2 linked regions of the Oreochromis niloticus genome follow. The protein of the gene in region 1 purifies or fractionates together with the protein of each later gene. This does not show direct contact. Links are inferred from orthologs where the notes say so. Each region holds a gene or a part of one and is shown on either strand. Other genes may lie near its edges.

Evidence for each region.
Region 2: the proteins of copa (region 1) and nudcd1 purify together in Homo sapiens (co-immunoprecipitation; 3 studies listed by BioGRID and IntAct, with this or other methods). This does not show direct contact. The link is inferred for Oreochromis niloticus from reciprocal best matches to the Homo sapiens genes COPA and NUDCD1.

What each region holds. Positions count from the first base shown.
Region 1 is NC_031982.2:26,257,961-26,270,691, reverse strand, and holds the start of copa (coatomer subunit alpha), read right to left. Parts: upstream 5,401-12,731; 5' UTR 5,223-5,400; coding exon 5,183-5,222; intron 4,861-5,182; coding exon 4,747-4,860; intron 4,652-4,746; coding exon 4,578-4,651; intron 4,361-4,577; coding exon 4,280-4,360; intron 3,768-4,279; coding exon 3,691-3,767; intron 3,520-3,690; coding exon 3,410-3,519; intron 1,717-3,409; coding exon 1,607-1,716; intron 1,054-1,606; coding exon 954-1,053; intron 758-953; coding exon 539-757; intron 271-538; coding exon 120-270; intron 1-119. Other genes in the region: pex19 (peroxisomal biogenesis factor 19), read right to left, coding at 8,405-8,491, 8,685-8,729, 8,818-8,988, 9,071-9,244, 9,326-9,411, 9,502-9,664, 11,003-11,091, 12,551-12,614. UniProt on the Homo sapiens protein: The coatomer is a cytosolic protein complex that binds to dilysine motifs and reversibly associates with Golgi non-clathrin-coated vesicles, which further mediate biosynthetic protein transport from the ER, via the Golgi up to the trans Golgi network.
Region 2 is NC_031985.2:12,074,225-12,086,644, forward strand, and holds the start of nudcd1 (nudC domain-containing protein 1), read left to right. Parts: upstream 1-6,972; 5' UTR 6,973-7,106; coding exon 7,107-7,221; intron 7,222-8,362; coding exon 8,363-8,517; intron 8,518-11,376; coding exon 11,377-11,562; intron 11,563-12,420. Other genes in the region: pkhd1l1.1 (PKHD1 like 1, tandem duplicate 1), read right to left, coding at 403-547, 819-896, 1,006-1,060; transcription and mRNA export factor ENY2-2, read right to left, coding at 5,330-5,406, 6,162-6,236, 6,331-6,401, 6,505-6,572.

The sequences.
Region 1 (12,731 bases):
GAAAGACAAAAACAAGCACTAGCCACAATTACTTAGACCAATTTCTTTTTGATTGCAGAAATAAAGAGGTGAATGTACAGTATTCGTATACTCAAAATGCTATCTTGTGCACACCACACCTGCGCAGCTGCATAACAGCCGTGTCTTTGCTGCTGTTGAAGTCCAGCTGGCGGAGGAAGCGATCCTTGACGTAGTAAAGCATGTTGCCATGTACGGCGTAGGCTGGACGTTCACGCTCCAGCTTGAACACAATCATACCACTGTCATGACCTTAAAGACACAAAATAAACCATCCGTCAGTGCAAATTTCACACGTACACACTGTATTTTTCCCCTCCTCAGGAAATACATGGCAGACATTTCCTGCTACTAGGCCATGTGAACTTAAGAGAACCATTAAAATCATTTTTTTTCAAATTTTCCCTGATATGCAAAGGATCAGCTTCAAAACTAACCAAACAACTACGTTGCAAATTGATATTTGAACTTGAAAATCTGTTAATGTTCCTGTTTTGATCAGATCACTGTCAGCACTTACCTGCAGCAAACAGGTTGAGGTTTGGGTGGGCACCCAGCACCCAGAAGCGATCGTGATCACGGCGGAAGGTCTGTACTCCAGTCCTTTTGGACATGTCCCACACCCGGATGCTCTTGTCCTCAGAGTTGGACAGAATGAGCTCCTGGCGTGGGTGGAAGATGGCACAGGACACGTTGTTGTAGTGCCCACGGCATGTATCGAGCTCCCATGCCTTGGACTCTGAACACAGACGGGGGGAAAAACAAAAAAATGAGACATGATTAAAGACAAAAAACAAGCAGAAACAGTTACAGCAGGAAACAATTAGTGAAGTAGTTAGCTTGATGAAATACCTACTTCTTGGCACATAACAGAAAAGTCAGGGGTTTTCGTTTCCGTGAACATCAACTTCTAACGCTCATGTAAAGTCACTCACCATTCATCCTCCAGATCTTCACCTGCCTGTCATCAGCTCCAGACACAATGAGAGGCATGCTGGGGTGGAAGGCTGCCCAGTTGACCCCACGATCGTGACCCTGAACATAAACATAACCTCAAGTCACACAAACAGCTGTCATAGCACAGCATCGTTCTATATGAAACTAAACTGTGTTACTCTCTGAGAAGCTGTTTCAGTACCATTAAATAAATAATATATCACACAGAAACCATAAAATACTACATTAAAACAAAACCCAAGCAATGTAGTTTTTTTTTTTATGACTGAATATTTCTGACCTTAAGTCGTAATCACATACCCCTTAAAACACAGATTCAACTGCTAGCTCGGGCTAAAAGGTGGTGTTTTCCAGACAGAACTGCATCATGGACTTTGATGATTTGGAGAACCTCATTAACAATGAACTTGTCTCTATATTTTCACTCTAAAGGATGCATTTCATATTTTGTAAAAGGAAAAAAAACAAAAACAAAAAGGACATCCAAACAATATGTGAGCCGAAGACTACGAATGGACATTTCCCTGTAATGAGATACCAGGAACAAATGAAGGTTCCCCCCAGTAACCTTTAAAGGCTGATTCACTCAAACGACCACAACATTTACAAAAGGTACAAAGTTGCTTCTCACCTCGAGGACGTGTTTAACAACAGCATCAGAGGCACCAAACAAGTCAACACCAGAGATGCCGCGCACGTCCGTCTCCACAGCACCTGGAGACAGGTTCTTCTTCCTCAAACCTGGAACCATCAGAGAGCACCGCATGCAAAGGGGGGAGCCATAATCAAGTTACACAGGGCACAACCACAGTAGAGGATCGGAACATGGGGAAAAACAAGATACATATTATTTAGATATCAAATTTGGAGAATCATCATTGGAGAAGCGAGGCCACAAAAAGGGGGGTTTAAAAACACAGCGCACTGTTGTACTACTGAACACACACACAGGTTTGAAACACACCAACACAACCTCTGCTTTCTCATTGACTGCCAGCTTGAGTCTGGAAACAATCATTCCTGCAGCCATGCTTTGATTGGTTTAATTAATCATCATCTTACAGAAGAAATCGGAATCACTTGTGATTTGGATGGATAGCAGAGCAAGGTAGCTGATTATTTCAGAGACTCAGTGAGATCAGGAAATGAAAAAAGATGGAGAAAACACAGCTTGTATTCATGATTCCTGCCTGTTAAAACAATGTGGTGAGCAGACAGTACAACAGCACAGAGAGAGATGACACGCAGGAAACAGAAATGACACTAGGAACCCATGTGCAGGTGTGGATGTTTCCAGGGAGAGCATGGGATAAGGAGGACACAGGGAGTGTGTGGACTTGGCTGATGGAGGTGGAGTGGGTGGTAGCTAGCATTGTAAAGGTGAGCCTCGATGGGGCGTTGAGTATCAGGATTATGAGTCTTGGAGTTTGCTTTCTTAAAGGCTCATGCACATTTCAGTCACAATGTTTAAATGACGTGCAGTTAGTATAGTCTGAAATGCCACAATTATTGGTTAGGAATGAAGATGATACCAATAAGTTGCAATGACTACAGGAAATATAAACCTGTAGTATATTTCATGTTATTATTATTTTTTTTTAATAGTAGAGCCAGTCGTGCAAATGTCATAGGTCATATAGAAATATGGGACAGCCAGAAAGTTTAAGTGTATAAAAAAAAGATTTACTTTTTTTAAAACCAATTAATGTTTTTGTTTGGATGCAAAAGCAGTATGGATTTTCTATATTGTGAGTATGAGTTCAAAGTAACCCCTTAAAGCTAAACCTGCCCATAAACATACTATGTATTTATCATAAAAAAATGAAAACACATGCTGCAGTTAAGTCATGTGATAGACAAGTTAAAAAATAAAAAAAAAAGTACAAATGGATGCAACCATGCTCAATCCAAAAACTAAGTTAAATTCCATAAACCCAGGATTGGTGAATGTTAGAACTTATGCATGTTCACATGAAAGGAAGTGAAAGCAAATGAGTGCAGTTAGTCTAAAGACAAGAAACAGGAGAAAGAAAAACCACAAGATTTTTACAGCATGCACAGGCACAGAAACACCTCTCCAATTATCCATCTATGTGGATTTTATCCTTTCACTGTGCATCTATCTGATCTGTAAGGCCTTTCTCCTTTCAGAGCTTTTATTTACAGTGTAGTATTAAATTAAAAAAATAAATAAATACCACACCATAAATTTGTTCCACTGCATCTAACTCTCTCACCATCTATCAAAAGAGAGGTGTTTCTGCAAACAGCCCACAGAGTTTTATCCTCTACAAGTCAGAGAGGAAGAAGAGGTTTAGGACTTCACTTCGGTCCTGCTCCTGTTTTCTTCCTCCTCATCTGTACCACTCTGCTCCCAACCCCTCCCCCAAAACCCAGCCCGCTGTCCTCTGGTCTGCCATCCCCAGGCCCTCACCGGAGATATCCCACACTCGCACAGTCTGGTCCAAACTGCCCGACACCACCAGGTCCTCAGATGGGTGGAACTGGGCGCACATCACGTAGTGATTATGGCCAGTCAGCACACTGCAGAGAAGAAAGAAATAGGAAACATAAGAAATTAGGGCAGACCATTCATTTTCATTATGGTAAATTTTAACAATTTTCATTCCTCTGTTTATTTAAAATCTCAATTAAACAGCCTAACTATGTGCAAGTTGTGAGAAACAACAGTTTAAACTTTACACAGTGTCTTACCAGACACACGTCCTGGACTGCCAGTTCCAAATGCGAATCGTCTGATCATCTGAAGCGCTCAGAATCCAGGGGTACTCCTACAGGCAAGGTGACAATTAATGAAATAACTTAAGTCTAAATTGTTCTAACATAAATTACAAAAAAAAAACAGAAGGAAGTACTAATCCAGTGGGGTGACAATATAAATTAAAACCCCTTAAAGACAAAGTGTTTACCATAATATGTAGTACTGTACTGAATCCCAGCTTTAGCGTTGCACAGTGCTCCACCATCACAAATAAAACTAATGATTTCTCCCGTGGACTTGGAGACAACCTATCCTATCTTGAATGATAGGCTAAGATCTGGTGACTGGAAAAGCCATAGCATACAAGTTGCATAATTTAATCTAATGAATCCTATTGCCAGATTGGTGGAGGCCATTCTGGAAGAGAGCACTTCACAGGATAAAAGGTGATCATCTTGAATATCTCCATTGATTTGCACAAGTAGTTCAAAATAGGAGAGTCACTGCAGGAGTCAAAGGTTCAAGGTTTCCTTTAATTTGTCACTTGTCCATTTTCTATGTTAAAACAGCAGGACAACTCACATGGTGAAAGAAGGTGGTTCTGATGTAGTCAAGATGCCCAAGGAGGGTGAAGAGACAGCGCCTCAGCTTGTAGTTCCACACCTGTACACAAAAAGAACATTTACTCAGCTCTCACCTAGGTTTCATTTTACAGTAGTGCATTAAGACATGGCAGCACCTTAGATGTTTAGGCAAAATATTAGAAATCCTGAGTATGAGATACTGCCTCAAACCAAAGAAACATAAAAATAAGCACTTAAACAACATTTATCCAGCTTCATGACATTTAGTGAGAGTGTTGATGCCACAGCAGTCCCACCTTGATTTTGTAGTCATCCCCTCCAGACACAAACAGGGGCTGCTGCTTGTGGAAATCAATCCCTCTGACAGGACCTGTGGTGAGAGACCACATTAAATCACACCTCACTTCCATTAATAACACAGTCTGTAAGCTAAAGCAGCGTACTCGAGCTAAAACACCGTCTTACCGTCATGCTCATCGAATTTGTCAATAAGTGTACACATCCGATAGTCCCACAGCTGGATGACTCCGTTGTGCAAACTTGCAAGAACCCATGGCCGTTTGGGATGGAAGCTCAGGCCTGAAATGTAAAACAGCTCGTCAGATCTCTCACAGAAGAGGCTATTACACTTCAGACGACCAGCATCATCCTAATTTACAGCGGTTTTTTAAACATGCAAAGTGATGTTAGCCGGACAGCTAAGGACACGTACAACTACTGTCCATTTATCGCTACATCTGAATAAGACACTATAACGACAAATTAGTTAGAGACAGTCGGAGGAAAATCTATTTAAAAACAAGAATAAAGAGACAACTCTGAATGAATAATCAACCGAGGACGATAACGTCAACTAGCTAACGTTAGCTTCTTTACTAATAAGTAGCTAGCAGACTCTTACCTTTGACACGGGCCGACTTCGTTTCAAATTTTGTTAACATCGTTACTGGTGAACCGCAAAGGTCTTCTTTTTAATGCTGAGACAAAACTCAGCCAGAGCAAATAATTAAAAAGGACTAAACTCTGCAGATATGTTGAATCAAGCGGCCTGACCACCTTCGCCCATTTAGTTGATTCTCCTTTTTCCTGACACGTAGTCCGTTTTGTCTTCCGGTTTTGAACAATAAAGTTTTGCGACGAAAATCTGACGCAGAAAGTTCCACGGCAGCGGCGCGTAGAAATGTAACACATAGACAAGACATATGCGACTAAATGCCGTCATAACAAATCTAATCTGTATATTTCCAAGCACTCCTTAGACGTATGAAATAAATATACGTACTCGGATAAAGAGTCGTTCGTTTCTTTAAAAAAGCGGTAAAAATCTAAGAGACAAAAAGGTTATTCTTTAAAATGTCAATGTCATGAACTCACAAATTCTATTAGATTAAAGTGAGAAATTCATAATTAAAAAAAATTAATTAAGATTAAGATTGTTTTCTTCATAAACGATTCTAAAATTCTTTTTTTCTAAATCCGACTGCAAATTATAATTTGATGACGTCATCTGCTGCAGGCACAATACGTGGCACGCGGGGGCGCCTGTAATGTGAAGTAATGCGTTTCCACTGGATTAAAAAAAAAAAAAAATCAATAATCTAGGATTGCAACAAAAAGAAAGTGGACTTCTACACAATTCTTTCCTCTTTAAACGTCTCAAAATACAGTTGTGGTCAGAAGTTTACACACACGCATTTGTAGGCATGAAGGTTGTGGTAATTTGGGGCTTTTAGTGATTTCTTTGACCTGTTCGTTTTCCAGGTTTGGGTTATAGGACATCATACATCTTTAATGACTTTAAAAACAGTCAGAATAATTCTTACTGGATGGAACTCTTATTGTCAGACTTGGTAGAATTTATTTATGCTGACTGGTTTCATGGCATGTGCTTATAATCATAGTCTACAGATTTTCAAGAGTGTTGAGGTCAGGGCTTTGAGAAGGCCATTCCAGAAGCCTGTTGTATCTATTTTAGTTTTAATGTGTGTTTGGGATCACTGTCCTGTTGGAAAATCCAACCGTGTTTCAAGTTTCAAATGTCTAGCTGTTGATTTGAGGTAACATTGAACAATTTAGAACTAGTTCCCTTTCTTCATTTTTCCATCCACTTTGTCCAGTGTACTCATACAATTGGCAGCAAAAAACCCCAGAGCATGATACTACCACCACGCTTGACAGTTGGTACAGTGTTTTGAAAGACTCTCCTTTAATCCCCCAAACAAACCCTTTATCACTGTGGCCAAATAACTCAATCTTTATCTGAGTGGCATGCTGACAAAGAGAAACTACCAGCTGTAGTCAATGAAGATTACTAATAAGATGTTAACAGGTTTTGTCATGTTAAAGACATTGTAAAAGAAGTCATTAAAAGCCCCAAATTACAGTGACATGTTCAAAATGAGTGTATATAAATTTATAATTTATTATTTATTACTTGAGAATTTAAATTTTAAAAAATCCTTTACTTCATTTACTACAGATTTTCTCCAGTAATGCAGCATATTTTATAAAATGACCATAGCTTTAGTCATGACTACAGCATAGACAAACTGAAGTGCAGTAAACTTATAGTAAAACTTCTCTTAATGCAGTTGATTATGACACAATATTTCTACTCATGTTCCATAAGCAGTATGAAAGAAATAATGACAAAAATCACACCGGGAACAATTACAGTATATCATTAGTTTTATTTTATATATTTACAGAAGAATAGTGTCAAAAACAAGTTTTATTATCATCATTATTTTTTATTACTTTTAACGGTGCTGTGGGAAACATTTGCATCGGCCCTGAGAGTTGAGTCCCACCCCACAATGGGATGAAACCACAGGTCTCTGTAAACCTCTGCAGCAGCACTCCCCTCAGCTGATGTAAATCGCATCTCTTCTCAGTGCATGGTTGACTGATTCCTTTCACAGAACCCTTTATTATACAGTCACTGATGGGCTGGTGGTCGTGTGATATCTAGATCTCTCTCTACAGTTACAGAAGTCAACTGTTATCCGCTACACAAACCCGACAGGCACTGCCAGAAAGTGCCAACATCAGGTTGTTGATGTCTTACCCAATAGCGCATCTCCATGTATTAGCCACCTCTTTCTCTCTCCCTTTCACGAAACACAATGTGATGTTTACTACACTGTCTGTCGCCCTCTCTGGAACAAACATGACGCACTTTTATAGGGTTTATTTTCATGACCTCAGGTGATTGTTGTTTCCCAGCGGAGACCCCATGCCAAAAGGAAAACACCATTTTGCACATTGAAAACACTGGGAATCACAGGGAAGCACTTTGCACAGTTACTCTACACTATAATGATCACTTCAACCACAGCAAAGGCATCCAGGAATCATCAATCACTTCAAATCAATATTTTGGAAATAGGAATAGCAAATGGGTCTTATTAAATTAGCTGGCTTAGTTTTAAGAGGTAAAGGAAATCTCTTATGAGGGCTTCACTCCTCTTTAGTTGTTTTAATCTTTTAAATAACTAACAAATGTACACATTTTTCATAGTTTTCTAGCATGTTAACCATAAACTTTCTAAGTTAAAGCTTTTAGCTTAAGTGAAATGCTGGAAAACAATCACTTGGTGTCAACTTGGGATGTTATTGCAAATTCAGACCATTTTAACTCCGATTGTAGCTGAATAATAGATGAAATTTCACGTTCTAATGAAACCTAAAAACAACAACTTAAAGTCACTTTGAAAAGGCACCGTTTATACCCGTGAAGTGGTTTGATGTAAATTACCATAAGGTTAAACAGTATGTAAAAACAACACTGAGAAGGCCAGTGGTATTTTCTTCTTACAGAAACTCTGCTAAAATTAAAGTGTGAAGGAATTGTGGCAGCTGCTAATGAAAAGATGTCCAAATGTTCTTAGTTGTGCCTTCCATGATTTTTATGGAGAAGAATATGTGTGTTTGTGTTGTTTGTGATTCCTTATGTTGCTTCTGTTTCCACACACTTTACTCTTTAGGAGGAGAGCGGTGATGACGGATTAGTCACACTCCTGCCTGACATTTGCTTCTCATTCTGTCACTCTCCCCCGCTGCTGACACACACAGAGCGACCCTTCGGCTCAAGTGCTTCAGATGGACACCGCCACTACCCTCATCACATGACGGAGCACTGCTCGGCTGACCCGGCCCCAGGGCCTCCAGGGAGATTGAGTGAGTCCATGTCAAAGTTAAAGCCAGGAGGCTGGAGAGGAAGAAAAAAAAAAAAGAGAGGAAGAACTATAAATATTTGTGCTCATTTAAAATCACATAAAATTCAGATTAAAACATCAACCGCAGTTCTGTTATGAAAGGGACAATCAAATTACAGCACATTTTCTTTCCCTGAAATCTTAGTTGTACAGCGAGGTCAAACACACAATGGTGTGTTTACTTACCGCATCACCTGCTAGCTCTTTGGGTGGTTGTCCAAGGTCTTGCAGCTGTTGGTAAAAGAAACAGGATGAGTTACCAGTTTCACTCTACACATAAACTGGTGTTTGTATGAGATAAGAGACAGTGCTGCATCACCTTTTGCATCAGGTCCATGATCCTCTCAAATGTGCTCTCTTTATCTGCTGCACCCTCTTCCTCCCTCTCAAAGAGCTTACAGATGTCTCCCATGATTTTGGCCTGCTGCTCATAGCGCTGGTAGTCCTCTGGACTAAGGCTCGGTTTGTTGGTTTCCAGCCACTCTGGGTACTGCAGGAATTAAGTACAGTTAATACAATTACTGAATGGGATACTGCAGAATATAATGTCTGCTATAAAACCAAAAGCACACCTTAGTAGTGATTTCCTTCAGGGATGGATAAAGCACCTCCTTAGAGAGAAGATTCTGCATGATGGACTGCATGATGGGCAGGATGTTTCCATCATCACCACCACCACCTTCACCCTCCTCCAACCCTAGGCCCTCTAGTGCTTTGACAAGGTCATCTCCAGCTAGTCCCGAAGACTGCAAGAAAACAATCAGACTATGAAATTGCTCTCATATGCAAAACCTTCATCATATTTGCACAATTTCAGCTTGACCCACCTTCAGGTTGTCTGCATTTTTGGCCAGCCCCTGAAGGGTTTCTTTAAGACAGGAAGTGAATTCTTGTTGGGAGGCAGTGTCAGTACCTGGTCAGAATAAACAGAGTATTTTGCCAAAAAGCCAAAATAGGCAGAAGACTAGAAGTAAACCATAGTCAACACAAGCCTATATCTTACCAACTTTTCCCGCAGCCTCTGATAGCTTCTGAAAGTGTTGGAGAAGCTCCGGTTCCTCCTGAGCCAGCTCCGTCATGGCCTTCTCCCACTCCTCCTTAGCTTGGGCAGCCATGTCCCCTTCAAAGAGAGTCTCGAAGAGCTTACAGTCCTCAAGCAAAGGGGGCTGAGACAGGCAGAGAAAAAAACCCCAAAATACCTTATTTAGAAATAAGGAAAAACTGAGGGAGATGTTCTTCTTTTCACTCCATCTGAATTGAAACTGTTTTGTTTTTATGTTCTAGACCCGACTCTAGCTTACACTTGATGTAAACCTGCAGCAGTCTTGCTTCCTAATAGTAAAAGAACCAACATTTGAAAGCTCAAAACTAAAATAACACCGACACTTTCTAGTTTGCAGTTTTGGATAGAAAATTAACAGAAAAAGACAGAAAAGCACTGCTTTATCAGTCAAATATTGCCATCTGCAAATACTGATATTTACTGATATCAGGAAATAAGAAAGTTGCGATGTTTATCTGTTGTGTGACCTCAGTTTTTTTGGTGGTGAAATGTTAAAAAAAAAGTGATGAAGGACTGAAAAGACTTCAAATTGTCTCAGTTCTTTCTTTAAAATCAACATTTCCTAGTTTTCCTAACATTATGGGGAATACACAACAGTAATACACAACTGCCCTCTGGCAGACGGTACAGAAGCCTGCAGACCAGGACCACCCGACACAGGAACAGTTTCTTTCCCCTCGCCATCTCCCTCCTAAACAGTTGACCTGTCACACTGCTCCCCACTGCCAGACTGCAACTGCACCTTATGTACATTCTGTAGTATTCATTCCACCTCATTTCATTTCTGTATTTTATGTATATAAGTTTAGTTATTTATAGTTGGTTTACACAGCTTTGTGTATGTATGTGTATGCATGTGTAATGTATATATAGACGTGTGTGTGTGTGTGTGTGTGTTTTACATTGCTGTGCTTGATAGCCACCATCTACCGGAACCAAATTCCTTGTATTTGTCTGCACATATACTTGGCCAATAAACACGATTCTGATTCTGATTCTGAAAAAACTGAAAAAAAAAAAAAAAAAGTATTGGTATTCACTATTAGCCAAACTTTTATTTAAAAATTTGCCACCGGGACACCACCATGGTTGGACTCAACTCTGATGGAGATGAGAGAGCATACAGGACGGATGTAGAGAACTTGTCCCTCTGGTGCTTAGAAAATAACCTGAAGCTAAACGTCCTTAAAACAAAAGAACTCATAATGGACTTCAGGAGGCACAGACAGGTCCATTCCCCACTGATTATAAATGGAGAACGGGTGGAATCTGTCTCCACCTTCAGGTTTCTGGGCACCTGGACCCACAACACCATCACCCCGGTAAAGAAGGCCCAGCAGCGGCCGCACTTCCTCCGTGTCCTGAGGCAGAAAAATCTGAACCGGAAGCTGCTGCTGGCCTTCTATTCTAAACATTCTATTCTAAATTATTTCGCAAGCACCTTTTGTGCACCACTGCTGGCTGAGGACGAAGCGGCTGCAGGTTCAGGGGCTGGAGGGACGGACGCCTTCTCAAAGTCATCCAACGCACCTGAAAGAAAGCGATGACATTAGAACCAATTCAGTCAAAATGCATTTAATGGTTTCATATTCACTGACAAATAATTATCCAGTTATCCCATTGCTATGGGTTTGTCCCATTGCTATGGGATAACTGGGATAACTGATGGGCAGGATGTCAGCATATGACATCCTGCTGCAGCATATGATGCTGCAGCAATTTTTCTGAACTATAAAATTGTCTATTCTATAAAATTCTTGTTTTTAATCAACTCATTCTGAGTTCAAAATAAAAAAGGATTATTTTCATTATTAAAGAAAATTAGCAAAAGCATAATATATTCACATTTTAAAACACAAAGGCAGTGACTTTTTTTTTTTTTTACTAATCAATTAATCAACAATCACTTCATTCTTCAAACACTCATTTTGACCTTTAATTAGCAAAACACAACAACCTGCTTAATCTTAAACTGACCACAAGAGTGGCAAAGAAAGGTTATTTAAGTAACTTAGAATATGAAATGGTTGTTCAGAAACTGCTGATTTACTGGGATGTTCCCACACAACCATCACTGCGGTTTAAAGAGAATGGTGTGAAAAGAGAAAAGATCCAGTGAGCAGCAGTTCTCTGGGTGAAAATGTCATGTTGATGTCAGAGGTCAGAGAATAGCCAGGAAGCTTCGAGCTGACAGGAAGGCAACATTAACTTAAATAACCACTCAATGCAACCAGTCAACACAGAAAAGCATCTCTGAATGCAAAATACATCAAACTTTGAAGTACAAGGGCTACAGGGGCATAAGACCACGCCAGGTGAAATTCCTGTCAACGAAGAACTAATTTGAAAACTAGAAGCTTAGAAAAGGTTTGACTGGTCTGATGAGTCTTGATTTCTGCTGCAACATTTGGATGGAAGGGTCAGAATTTGGTGCACATAACACAATAATATGTTGTCTTATGTAAGACAAATGATGACTTTAAATTGAAGGAAAAATATATAAAGTGGTTTGAAGATTTTTAGCCCTTTTCTGATTGTTTTATTATTGTTATGAATGTCTTTTATATTGAAAACCTACTGTTGAGAAAATAAAACTGTATATAATTTAGCCTTTATACATATTTGGAAAAATAAAACACTTTAAATCCTAAGCTGGGTTGTTTTGAAAATTTGCCTTGAACAAAATATGTCGTTAAGGAAATTGACTCCGTGTTCTGTGCAGATACACGATGAAGGGCACAAACTGAACCCGGATAAAGTTATCTGACAGCAGAGACATGAAGCGATTCGTGCTGACGTTTCTTCTTGAACATTACTTCTGCAGATCTTTGGGACCCGGGCAGGAGCACCTGACGTTGAGCTAAGCCCTGACACGGTGGAAGCACAACAACAACAAAAAAGGACACGGCGACACCACGAAGCTGCACGAAAATCCCACTGCTGTGTTCAGAAATACACACACTGATAAAATATTAATGCCGAGTCTTACTGTCTAATAATTCTTCCAGCTCTGCATCGTGTCCATCGGACGACCCTCCTGTTCCTGACGCCATGATGTTGCCTTCTCCAACCCAGCGCGGAAACTGCCGCTTCTGCTGTAAAAATGTCGCGAACACCTCTACGTCACTCACCCGAGTCTGATTTTAAATGTAGCGCCGCCTCGTGGCCGG
Region 2 (12,420 bases), on another chromosome or scaffold:
GGGTGTTTGTACAAGTTGTGTTATTTTTAAATGTAATATAAAAAATGAAAAACTGGAATAAAATTCCACTTTCTAGCTTTATGCAATAATATGCAAATATAGATTCTATACAATTATGCATACATAAATGATGCATACAGTACAAATTTTTGGTAAAAATGGGCCAATATGCGTGTGTGTTTTAATTCCCTTCCCTCATCCCCAACCAGTTGAAGCAGATGGCTGCCCCTCCCCTGAGCCTGGCTTTGCTGGAGGTTTTTTCCTTTTAAAAGGGAGTTTTTCAGTCGTGCTGTTGCCGAGTACTTGCTAATAGCATTTTGTCTGATTGTTAGGGTAGGTATCACTAGGTATTGTGAAATAAGTAAATACAGACATGCTGCTAAAGTATGCCTGGAACTGTACCTGGTGTAGCACATGATCTGGTTGCTGTGTGTGGAGTCTCTCTCCACATCACAGGGGACTGACAGGGTGTTTGACACCAGGGTCACACGGTTTCCAAACATGTCGTCTACTGGATTCAGCTGGAACTGCCGCTCCTGTGCAAAACCTGGAAGAAAAAACAGGGGCAACATAATCGTAGAAGGTAATTGTTTTTGAGAGTCACATCTCGTAGCATCATCCCACCAGGCCAGCAGGCACAAGGACTCTCAGGACAGTCACAACTGCATTAACAAAGCTTCTTCAGCTGCATCTTTTAGCTACAGAATAGCTTAAAATGGACTTATATCTCACAATCCATCATAACTTGTTTTACAAAGTAAAAGAATGCCCACACTTCTTTTTAAATTTACTTGTAAACATCATTACGGATCTCTTACCATCTCCTTGAATAGTGAGTCGTGTGGCTCCATTGACGCTTCCTCTGCGTGGCGACACGGAGGTAACGCGCTGAGCATCTGTAAAATTGAATTAAAACAACATGAGAAATCTTTTTTCCTCTCTATGAACAGCGAGCTAAAAAACTGAGTTTAGAATAGAAGTTGTTGTTTGTTTTACTTTACTTACCGCAGCAACACCAAAGGGCGAGGAGGAGAGCTGCGGCCTTCCACTTGACCTCCATCCTGAAGAGCTCCCAGGTTACTTTCCTGCCTCACCTGCGCCCCTCTCTCGACCAATTGTGAATCACGTGACACAAAAGTACTATTTAAAACAAAAGTATTATTGACATTTATTGACAGCCATAGAATAAATTTATGTACTAAAATATACAATTATTTTAAAAAATATTATTTTTAAAAATTGTATTTTCCATTTTCCAGTGTGACATTTATGTGAACAAAACTCACCAGCAGTGAGAAACCCTTTTTAACCTCTTGACTGGGAAACAGTGTGAGTTCAGGGACGCGCACTACCTTTTTATAACGTGCTCAGGGTCCCGCCCCTCACCTGAAACTGGGAGGAGACTGGAAGAACATTTTGCCGCATTTATCAGATTTTCAAGATGTCTGCATTTAAAAACAAAACGAAAGTGAGTCAAAAGCGTGATAAATAATGGCTCCATGAACACGGAGCGTAATGATCTATGAAAATGTGGAGAAAGAAGTGGAGCTATAAAAAGCTAAAGTTTGCAAAGTTATACACGTTTTGCATTTGTTGAGTTTCAGTAAATATGGCCTTTGTGTAGCCTTTGACTTTTTCACACCACCGTTTCATGACTGCTGGATTAAATTTGCATTAAAGTGCAATCATTTTCGCTGTGCACAATGTGCTCTTGAAGTGGTCTTCATGTTATTCTGTCCACGTTTCATTTATAAAACACATCGTACAGTAGTGCTTCACATTAGCCCTTTCAGTCTTTGAGTGTTTGTAAAACTGTCTGTGATCATAACAATGATAAATAAAACTCCTTGTGATGCTTGCAACCTTATATTAATTGCAGATTTCCTCTTCAACTAATTTGTGCCTGGAACCATAAAAAGAAAACAGATCTAAAACTGGCAAACAGTAAATAATAATAATAATAATAAATAATGTCAAACATAGTTCACTGACAGATTACAGACCAGTCTCTTGGTGACCCTTTTTCCTTTAGACTATGTCTATTTAAAAAAATCCAAACAATGCATAGAAAGATTGCCTAATTAAATTCACCAAAGTGGGTGTAATATTCATAAATATGAAATGATTCGAAGGGTGTCCTCATGACTTTACAGATGGAATCACGAATGCCAAACCGCTGTTTACCTTCAGATGCCTGACATCAGAGAAATATTTCAGCATGATAATCATCCAAAGCACATTGTCAAAAATCACACGAGTGTTTCAAGAACAAAAAAACAAGTTGTTTCAACTATTTCACCTGACTTAAATCCAACAAAACACCTTCAAGGTATTTAAAAGAAATGTAAAGTAACAAACCTCTTCCAGATTGTTACCAAATTGTCTTTGAGCAATGACGTGACGTTGTTCTTCAACACAGGTATTCTCCATGTACACCTGTACAGCTTTGTTGTGATTGCAGGGGATTTTAACAACAGCAGTTTAAAGACTGCTCCCTAAGTTCAAGCAGAGGTATGAACATGCTGGACTTATAATCAAACCCCCACCCCCACCTCACCCACTCTGATCACCTTTCTGTTACGCCTGAGCCTGCTTACAAACCATTCCTGAAGCGCAGCAGACCAGTGAGAAAACAGACCAGGATCTGGCCAGAGGATGCAGCCTCAGCACAGCCTCAGCACTAAAAACTGCTTTAGGAACACCGGGTGGGGGGTGTTCAAGACAGCAGCCTCGCAGGGAGACCAGATAAACAATGTGGAGTACGCAGAGGCAGTAAACAGCTACATTGCTAAGAGGATGTCACTGTAGTTAAGACCTTCACTGCACGTGGCAACCAGAGACCCTGGTGGAGGATGAGACTGCTCTCCGTGTGGCCAGGTCTGCGAGGGACACCTCTGCGAGACAGGAAACACCAGACGAACGTGGCAGGGAGTACAGGCACTGATGAATTCCAAACCCATGCAAGGGGTCAACAAAGATGACACTTCTTTTCCGGACAGGTTTAATAACTTCTTTGCATGCTTCCAGGCATCAAACTGAACATACAGAGGGAAAGTGGGTTCTCCATTATCTGCAGGGCCAGCTGTTATCATAAGTGCAGCAGATACCAGAGGACCCTGGCCAGGGTCAACCCACGGAAAGCTGCAGGTCCAGATAACATCCCAGGACATGTGCTCAGAGACTGCACTGGTGAGCTGGCAGATGTCCTAAATGATATTTTTAACATCTCCCTCAGTCAGGCCACCGTACCCAGATGCTTCAAAACATCCACCATAGTGCCAATAGCAAAGAAACCAGTTTTATCTTGTCTAAATGGCTACGGGTCCGTCACATTGACAACAATTGTGATGAAGTGTTTTGAACAGCTTATCAAACCACACATCACAGCCACCCTTCCTGCATTAATTGACCTGCTCCAGTTTGCTTATCATCCTAACCACTCCACAGAGGATGCATTAACCACCACCTTGCACTCAGCCATCACCCATCTGGACATATGCCATACTCCTATTGATTTTAGCTCAGTGTTTAACACCATCATTCCACAGAGACTACTAGAGAAACTCCACTTACTGGGGCTGAACACCACACATGTCTTGGGAGAAAGATCTCCAAACCCACCACGCTGAGCGCTGGATCTCCTCAAGGATTTGTTCTCAGGCCGGAAGATACAGATCCAGCACACTCCTCTCAGTATCAGCGACTGCCCAGAGAGTGGAAGACATCAGGTTCTTGGATGTTCAGATCTCGAAGGACCTGAGCTGGGACAAGAGCATCTCAGTGATCACAAAATGGGCCCAGCAGGGACTGAATGAAACAAGCCTCTGTCCCCTCCAGCATCCTCAGGACTTTTTACAGAGGCATGTTCTACGGTATATCAGCGTGGTGTTCCAGCTGCAGTATGTCAGACAAAACAGCACTGCAGAGGATAGTTAGAGCAGCTCAGAAGGCCCTTGGAGTTTCCCTCCCCTCTGTCTAAGACCTTTTCAAGAGCCACAGCAGGAGCAGGGCACTGAAAATCATAAAGGACCCCTCACCCCCCCTCAATTCTTTGAACTGTTGCCATCAGGCAAACGGTTATAAAAGCCTCCAACAGCTTCCTCCCACAAGCTGTTAGAATGCTGAACTGTTGATTTGGTTATGTACACTATCATACCCAGGAGTCTTTAGAATTAGTTTTAATTAGTTATCTTTCTTACTCAGTTCTTTATTTATATAGTTATCTTTTTTTTCTTTTAAAGAGACTATTTTACAGTGATGCGTCTGGGATGCATGTGTGTCTGATTGTGCAGGGCAGGGTGGTTGCATGATGTTTGTGTGTGTTCTAATATTTTTAAGACCCTGAACAAACACCCTTTCATTTTGCCTGCACTACGGCAGTATGAACAGCAGAATTGAGAATTTAACATTTAACAAGCTAAATGAGGCCTGTAGAGTCTGAGATGTAGCTCATATATCAAAGTTTTATATCAAAATTTGCTGGGATGTCTCCATTACGTGTTTTCCACTTGTGACTGACTAATCTTTCTCACTGTAGAATGATGAGCTTCAAATTATTTAGAAATATCCTTTACAAACTTCCAAGACTGATGGGCAGAAACAAGTGCTCTTCGAGATCATTGCTGATGTCCTTCCACCTTGGCACTGCATTAACACACCGGAAAGCTCCAGAGCAGGGAACTGCCAAAACTTCTACTTTTATAGAGGTGCTCACACTTGCTGATGATCAGCTATTCAAGTGCATTTGATTAGCAGCTACTTAGCCTCTTAATTCCTATGGAGGCAGTAATGATGTACTTTTTTTCACACACTCTTTTTGTATTTTGTGCAGCAAGTTTTGTTTTGTTATTTATCTGAGATAATATTTATCTAATTTCAAGACATGTTTAAGACCAGATCATTTTTTATTAACTCCTGATCCGTAAAACCTACTGCCAATCAACATTATTACTTCTGGGTGTATTTTCTCAACAACTGTAAATAATTCAAAGTTTGAGATGCAATTATAAGTTTTTGGTTTTTCGACATGGGCGACAGACTGGGGACCTGTCGAGGGTGTCCACTGCCTTTTTCACTAAGACTTAATCTGTCTGCACTTTTGGGTTTGGATCAACCAGACAGGTAGCAATTACAACAAGAATGACCAAAATAGGCATGACTTTATTTTTCTTCTCCAAAACTGCAGCATAAACTAAAAATCAATATGAAAACACACAATACAAAATAAAATTAGCACTAAAATGAACACAATAAACAACAGTTTGGATTTCACTCGTGGATCAACAGTGAGTAAAAACAAACAAACAAACAAAAAAGGGAATTGTGTCATTCACAAGGTTGCATGTTGAGCTAAAAAAGCTCTGATTCTCTGGAGGAGTTCTTTCTTCACACTGTCTGGTACGAGTGCTGCAGAGGAAAGAGATGAAGAGATGAAGAGAGATTAAGTCAGAACACAGAATAGAAACTTACATACTCACACAACACGATACTTTTATTGTCAGAAGTTGTCATCCTGTCAGCTGTTTCTAATATTTTTTCTATGTATGTTATAATGTTGGCCTGGTAGATAAAATATGACTTTTAAGAGGCACCAGCTCCCTCTACAACTTCCTACGAAGCTCAGAAACATTTCCAGAAATCACCATGCCATGCACGAATAATGGTTAATATCCAATATCCAATATGCACGAATAATGGAAAATGATCCAGAAACACTGCCATCTTCTCTAGGCTAAAGCTCATTTAAAATGACTGAGGCATCTGAAAGTGTTCTTCAAATGGGCAGTAAATGTCCAAAGAAAAACTCTGAAAGACCTTCAGAAGGTCTGAAGAACTACTACTGAAGACCAGTTTAAAACAGTTTAGAGAAAATACAGCATCTGGCTCCTTGGAAGAAAAATATAAAGAAGTGAGGGGTGGTTCAAGACTGTATATCAGGGAAACCTGAAATCGTAAGAGCTGTAATCAATAAGTAGTGCTGACCTACAACATTAGCAGTTTGTTAGTTAGCATGCACAAAGATGTATTAGGGATAAAGATGATGTGCAGTGCTAAATAAATAAATTGACTTGTACATCTAAATCAACGAAGCAAATGAGTATGCTCATCACTTCTAACAGTCTTCCTCCCCCTGCTGTTGTGTTTGAACATCTGTACTGTACCTCTGCCTTTTGGTGTGACCTCTGTGACCAGGTCCTCCACTGTGACATGCTCCAGGCCCTTTTCTCTGATCACATCTGGCTCAAACGGGAGGTAATGACTTTAGTGACTTTTGTTTTTATAGCACCACGACATCATCGCCGGACACTAACATAAGCACAAGTCAAATACCTTTGCAGTGTGCTTTCAGCTGATCCTTCCACCCACACTCCACCAGCTTCGCTCTGAGCAACTCTTTCAACCTGCGGCCACACATTTAATTCACATTATGTGACTTAATATGTGCAATTCAAAACCACGCCAAACCATCCAGCACCAAATCACTGCAGTGAAAGACTCGCTTACCGCTCCCGTTCCCCCATCTCTATCAGCTTCTGGTTTATTGCAGCCCTCATCTGGGAATCTTTGCTCATGATCCGCCTGAAATTAAACACACACACCGACACAGTCAGCTTGGACGCAAGAGTATAATAAAAACATATATTATAATGTCTAATTTAGCTCCCTATCAGGTAGCCGCTACCGTTATCGAGAAGGATCAGCTGGGGAACATAAGGTCCCTTTACACAACGGAACCGTCTAAAAACGTTTAACGCTTAAAAGTTCCGGCTTTGGAGTGGTTAATCTTTCAACGTCAACCTGAATAACCAATGATAGTCTCATTAGTGTTCAAAATACCTGTTTAATGACGAAAAATATAATACAATACATTTAAACTGAAAACACTAAATTAAATCAGTTACTTAAGCATTTCAAGAGAGATTAGCTCAGGACTCAACTTCCCCTGCGCCCTGGGAGGTTTTGTCCGCCGTAAAATAGCTCCGTGTGAGAAAACAATGACGAAAACACAGGAAACGTGTATCACGCTGGCTACACATCACCCTCCTCCTCTTGCTGCACACAGGCTGTCATCAACTTGTGAATAAGCCAGTCTCATTGAAAAAGACATGACTGCGTCTAACTACTCATTGAAGGTCAACAGAGACCTGTTGGACCCAAACTTTGAGAGTTACAGGTTATCCTTGGACGCCATACCGACGTACAACATAGAGCTGGATGCTGGTGAGAAAAACTTAATGCAGTGCAGTTAGCAAGTGTGCTAGCCTAGCCCTGAGAAAGGTCCAGTATAACTTCTGTCCAGTATAACACTAAATAGGAATAGCAATGTAAGTTATTTGAAATTATCTCAGACATTTTATTGGCTGTCACTACGTCACGACGTCAGCTGTTGATGCTACATAATATTTTGGCAGCTGTATCTGTAGCTCAGTGGCTCACAATGAGATCTTAAGGTCCACCACTGTAACCTAATGAGCTTTCACACGATCACTAAGAAAAATCTGAACATTAGCATAGTTTAAACCACTGAAAATTAACAGATTAACGCTGAAGTGACTAATTACTACAATTTGTTCTTCATACACATACATAACTCATTTATATTGCCAGGACAAGTCAAGTGCACCAATCTTAAATAACTTAAAAACAATCATAGGGATGTTATAAGGTTAGTTTTGTAATACATGTTTTAACTTCAAGCTCTTAACTTCAGTTTGAGCAATACCAAATTAGTGGGGCTGCTGATCCAGATATGTACTTTAGTGATTAAAACGATAAGGGATGGAAATAGAGCAGCATTTTTAAAATTTTGCATAATCATATACCAAAGCTTGCTAATTCCTTTTAATCGAAACTCAGGCCAGCTGAGCTCACCAGAGTTGCATCTAAGTGTTTTCTACTACGTCTCTTATCCAGTTTATAAAACAGCTAGTGTGGGTCGAAAATCAACAATCTATGAAGTTTGTACCTAACAGGAGAATTCATTATAACATTGGTTTGGATACAATCTTACTGATATAAAAAGGTGCTTACACTTTGCACAGACATCCACTCACAGTAGATTCAGGCATGCATATTACAAGGTGATTAATGTGCTTTAAAAAAAAAACACGATACTTTATTTAGTGGGAACAATTCAGACAAATAGTAGCTGTAAAAAATAGTTAATTGCAGTTTTTTGTCACCGATAGTTCATCTTAGAGTAAAATGTTGAAATATTAAGATATGTTAAGATATATGTAACACTTTCCACAAAGCAACTGTAGGAAAGGCAGAAGGGTAAACTGCTTTTTAAGTAACAACATAAATAACAGAAATTTGATTACTGCCGTATTTAATCTTTTCTTTTTCATATCTGCCGCAGCCGTGGAGGAGGTCAAGCTGAAGGACACTCAGTACACCCTGGAACATATGCGTGCCTTTGGGATGTATAATTACCTGCATTTAGACCCCTGGTATGAGGACAGTGTTTACTTTGTGGACTGCAAAGGACGGGTCCTCAATCTCACCGTCACTCTGGTGAGTTTGCAAATCCTCTTGTTTTTTGGGGTTATTTTTGGAAGTCTATATTCCTCGGCCTGTTTATGATTGTTGCCCCTCCATTGATGTCTAAGGTGTTTTCACACCTGCACTATTTTCTATGTGATGATGCACATTGTTCCACACACGAACATGGTAATTGTGCTTGCAGTTTTTCCTATGCAAAAAGACACCAAACAAACAAAAACACAAGTATGTAAGGTCATCAAGTGATCTGGAAGAGAACATCAAGGGTGAAAACACCATAAGAGAGCAATCACCGATCTTAATAAAAAATCTTTGATATTCATAAAACTAGCTCCTAGTGCCAACATTTTTCTTAATTTCTAAGAATTTCTCGCTAAAGTTACAACTAAATCTTGAAAAGGTGAAAGTTATTCACAAAGCATTTGCTTCTAAGATAAAAAAAACTGTGTGGAGTGAAAAGAAGGACTTACTTAGGAGTTCCTTAAGCAGAGGAGAAACTGGCAGAAAGAAGAAGCTTTGCCACTTTTTTTTCACCCTGTTGATTAAATAAAATCTTTGCGCTTTGCATAATAAGGTTAATTTATCTTTTTAAGCGTTAGAGGAATACAATTTGATGTAACACTTAAGACAAACAGAGTCTAACATTACACTGTGTGGTTAATTACAGCTGACTAATGGTAGTTAACTTGCCAGCATAATAACAGTGGTTTGGCAGCTGTAGAAACAAGCCACAGGTCAGTCTTGTGCATACATTAGTGCCATTAGTCTGTGCTCCAAATTCAGAATAACAGTGAGGTGATTAAAGCTGCAGGTTACATGTTTCATGGGTAAAGACTGTAGTCAGTATTCTGTTACATCTAATAATAAACTCAGCATTGACAAAATCATCATCACTAAAGTGTTTTGGAGCTGGAAAAATGCAAGTTGGGTCTGCCCAACCTTCATCAGCAGAGCAATCACGCAGATAGCTTTCACAGCCTCATGCTGTGAAGCAGTTTATTTTATTTTTCACATCTTAGAGCGTTCACAGACATGATGATCTCCCTCGTATTATAGCAGTAAATCATAGAATCTGAACAATTTTACTTATTATAATAATTTAGATCAATTATTAAATTTACCATCATGGCAAATGGATTTAACCTGAAATCTAACTCTCACCATGGGAATTTACGTAATCTGAGAGTTTCCTAAATCACAAGTTTGGAGTCTTTGCAAATGTTTTTAGGCAAATTTAGGAGCTCTTTGTTTTACAGTGTTGTTTTATGTTACCATTATATAACGTTTCATATTATGGGCCTGATGTTGTGATGGTGTATTCAATGAAGGATTTTTATGCGCCTGATGTGCCAGTAGGTGGTGACCAAACACTTGAGCATCAGCAGGTTGAGGGAAGAGAAAGGATGTCTGTGAAACACAAGAGTTTTAAAAGTTATGTTAAATTATATAATATTATTTCTAACCTTTTTTTTCCTTGGTCAAGATGCAAAATAATAAACGTCAGAATAAACGTGGCTCTTAGTATTTAGTCTGAAACACAACTTTCTGTGCAGTCTTTTGTCTGTCGTATGAATCACCCGAGCACATAAAGTTTGGATGAGCCCTTGTAGGTCTCCAGTTAATCACAGGAGCGATTATATAATTGACTCAAGGTTCTGATTGGTATTGTTACCCCGTACCAAGATGTTGAGATGAGGAGCAAAATCGTTCTCATGACCTTTTCAATCGAGCCTTCTTTTATGTCTTAGTCATCATTGACCATAATTAGACATAATTGGTGTCTCATTGGAGTTTTTTTTCTTTGATGATCATCACACTGTAATCCTGCGAGACAGTGTTTCTGGCTTTCAGTGGCACCATTAAATGAAATTTATGGAAAAGTGTTGCTCAAATTCTAATTACAGTGATCACATGATAATTATCATCCTTCAGCCTTTTGTGCTCGGTTGCTCGGCACATTGCACATAGAGGTTTCACACTCCGTTTCAGGGCATTAACGACACGGATGCTGGAGAAAGTGATACCAAAGGTGCATCGTACATTAGATAGCGATATAATGTGCCGTGCCACGCTCCATGGCAACAACGGGGTTGCTTCTCCACAGTCCTTTTGAAAAACGGTGTCTTCACTCAATTTGTGATGCTCATGTGGTGGCATATCTATCTATTACTAATAAGGCTTTCAGATTGTTGAATCACACGAGTGGCCACATGACAGCTGCTAACTGTCCCTGATGGGTACATGTTTTCTCTTACTCATTGTACCATTCTTTAGATTATAAGACTTTAGACAATAAGAAATTAATGCAAAATCATTTGGACTTTATATCTTCCACCCAGATACTTACTGTAAAACTCTTATGGGATGGAAGCAGCAACCTGGAGTTGAGCCGCCTATTAAACGTCTTGTGTTTGAGTCTTTGTGATTCATGACTGTACTACTTATTGTTTGATTGGATGTTAGCTGTAAGAATGCATGCATCACATATTTCCCAATATCCTACAATAGTTTCTTATGCTAAACTGAAGTGGTGACAAAATCAGTTTTGCCATGTTGTTCTCCATCTATAGCACTGAAATGAGCTTACTTGATATCCAGTCATTATTCCATTCATCCATCCTTCCTCCCCTTAACAGTCAAAGCAGTACAGTAATTGGTGTTAACATATTATAAATGTATTTTTTTTGTTTTAACTGGACAGAACATGCACTTTGACATATTAAAATAGGCATTTTTCAGTTGTTTCTTTGTTTCATTCTCATACACCAGCACACTGAGATTTCCTCTGCAGATATGAATGAATCTAAATGGCCTAATCTTTTTTTTATGAATGCAGTACTGGCTTACGGGTGTGTTGTGTTCTGAATTCAGGACACCGCCCTGGGGAAGCCGAGAGAGGTCTACCGTGTAACCGTCGAGTCCAGCCAGTGCGAGGATCGTCTTTGCGCCTCCCTCAGCCTGACCTCGGCGACCTGGGCAGCTCTGTCAGATGGTAGCGGTCGACTGTACCTCCTCCGCACCGGCAAGAGGGGAGACAGCTCCCATATGAAGTGGGAAGTAAGTATAGATGTTCTGTTTACTGCTGTAAGTGACGCACAAACGTGTTTGAGATATTTTTTGCCGTGGAAGTGAAGGTAAAAAGACACAAACCTGAATTCCCTCCGTGTACTATTGTAATACTGGTGCTGCTTTTTCTTCTGCTTTCTTGGCTTAACACCACTAATTATTAGCATTTGTAACTGACAGTTGTTCAGTCAGTTAGTCACTAGCTCATTGGCGTGTTCACAGCTGTCATAAATTAGGTCAAAACTGGGCGAGATTGGAGGTGTTTTGAATGTCCAAATATCTCTGATGATGTAATTTTGAGTCACTAAATATCTTTGTCAGTACTGCACAAGAGAAGCTGGGTTAGTAGTCAGTCAAAAGATAATTAGACATTAATTATTGGGCATAACTTGACCTGTTCCTGGGCTCTAATGTACCTGTGGTCCTAGTTGAATAATTGGTTAAGGAAATGAGTGGATTAATATAGCTTCGGCCACTGGTTGAGACACTTCTGCTGGTGACGGTAATAAACTATATAAGAGAAATGGACGTAGCTTCTTGGTCTAAAAGGAAAGCCAACTTGGTCAGCAGATGGTGGCCTTTCAAAAAGGATTCCAGTTAAATAAAGTATTAGTTGACTGGACAGTCGGTACCAGAAATACTGCTTGATTAAATGTGTTATTCTTAGCTTTGTCAGAATAAACTGGAATACAGTACAACCAAGCAGCCGAAGGAAAGAAAATCTAATTTGGTAAGCTTAGCCATCCTTTGCAAACTAATCTGACACTGTGTTTGTTTGCAACATTATGGTGACACTTAAAAACTGATTGATTTATAGGACTGTGATTAATAGTTTCATGCAACTCTTAT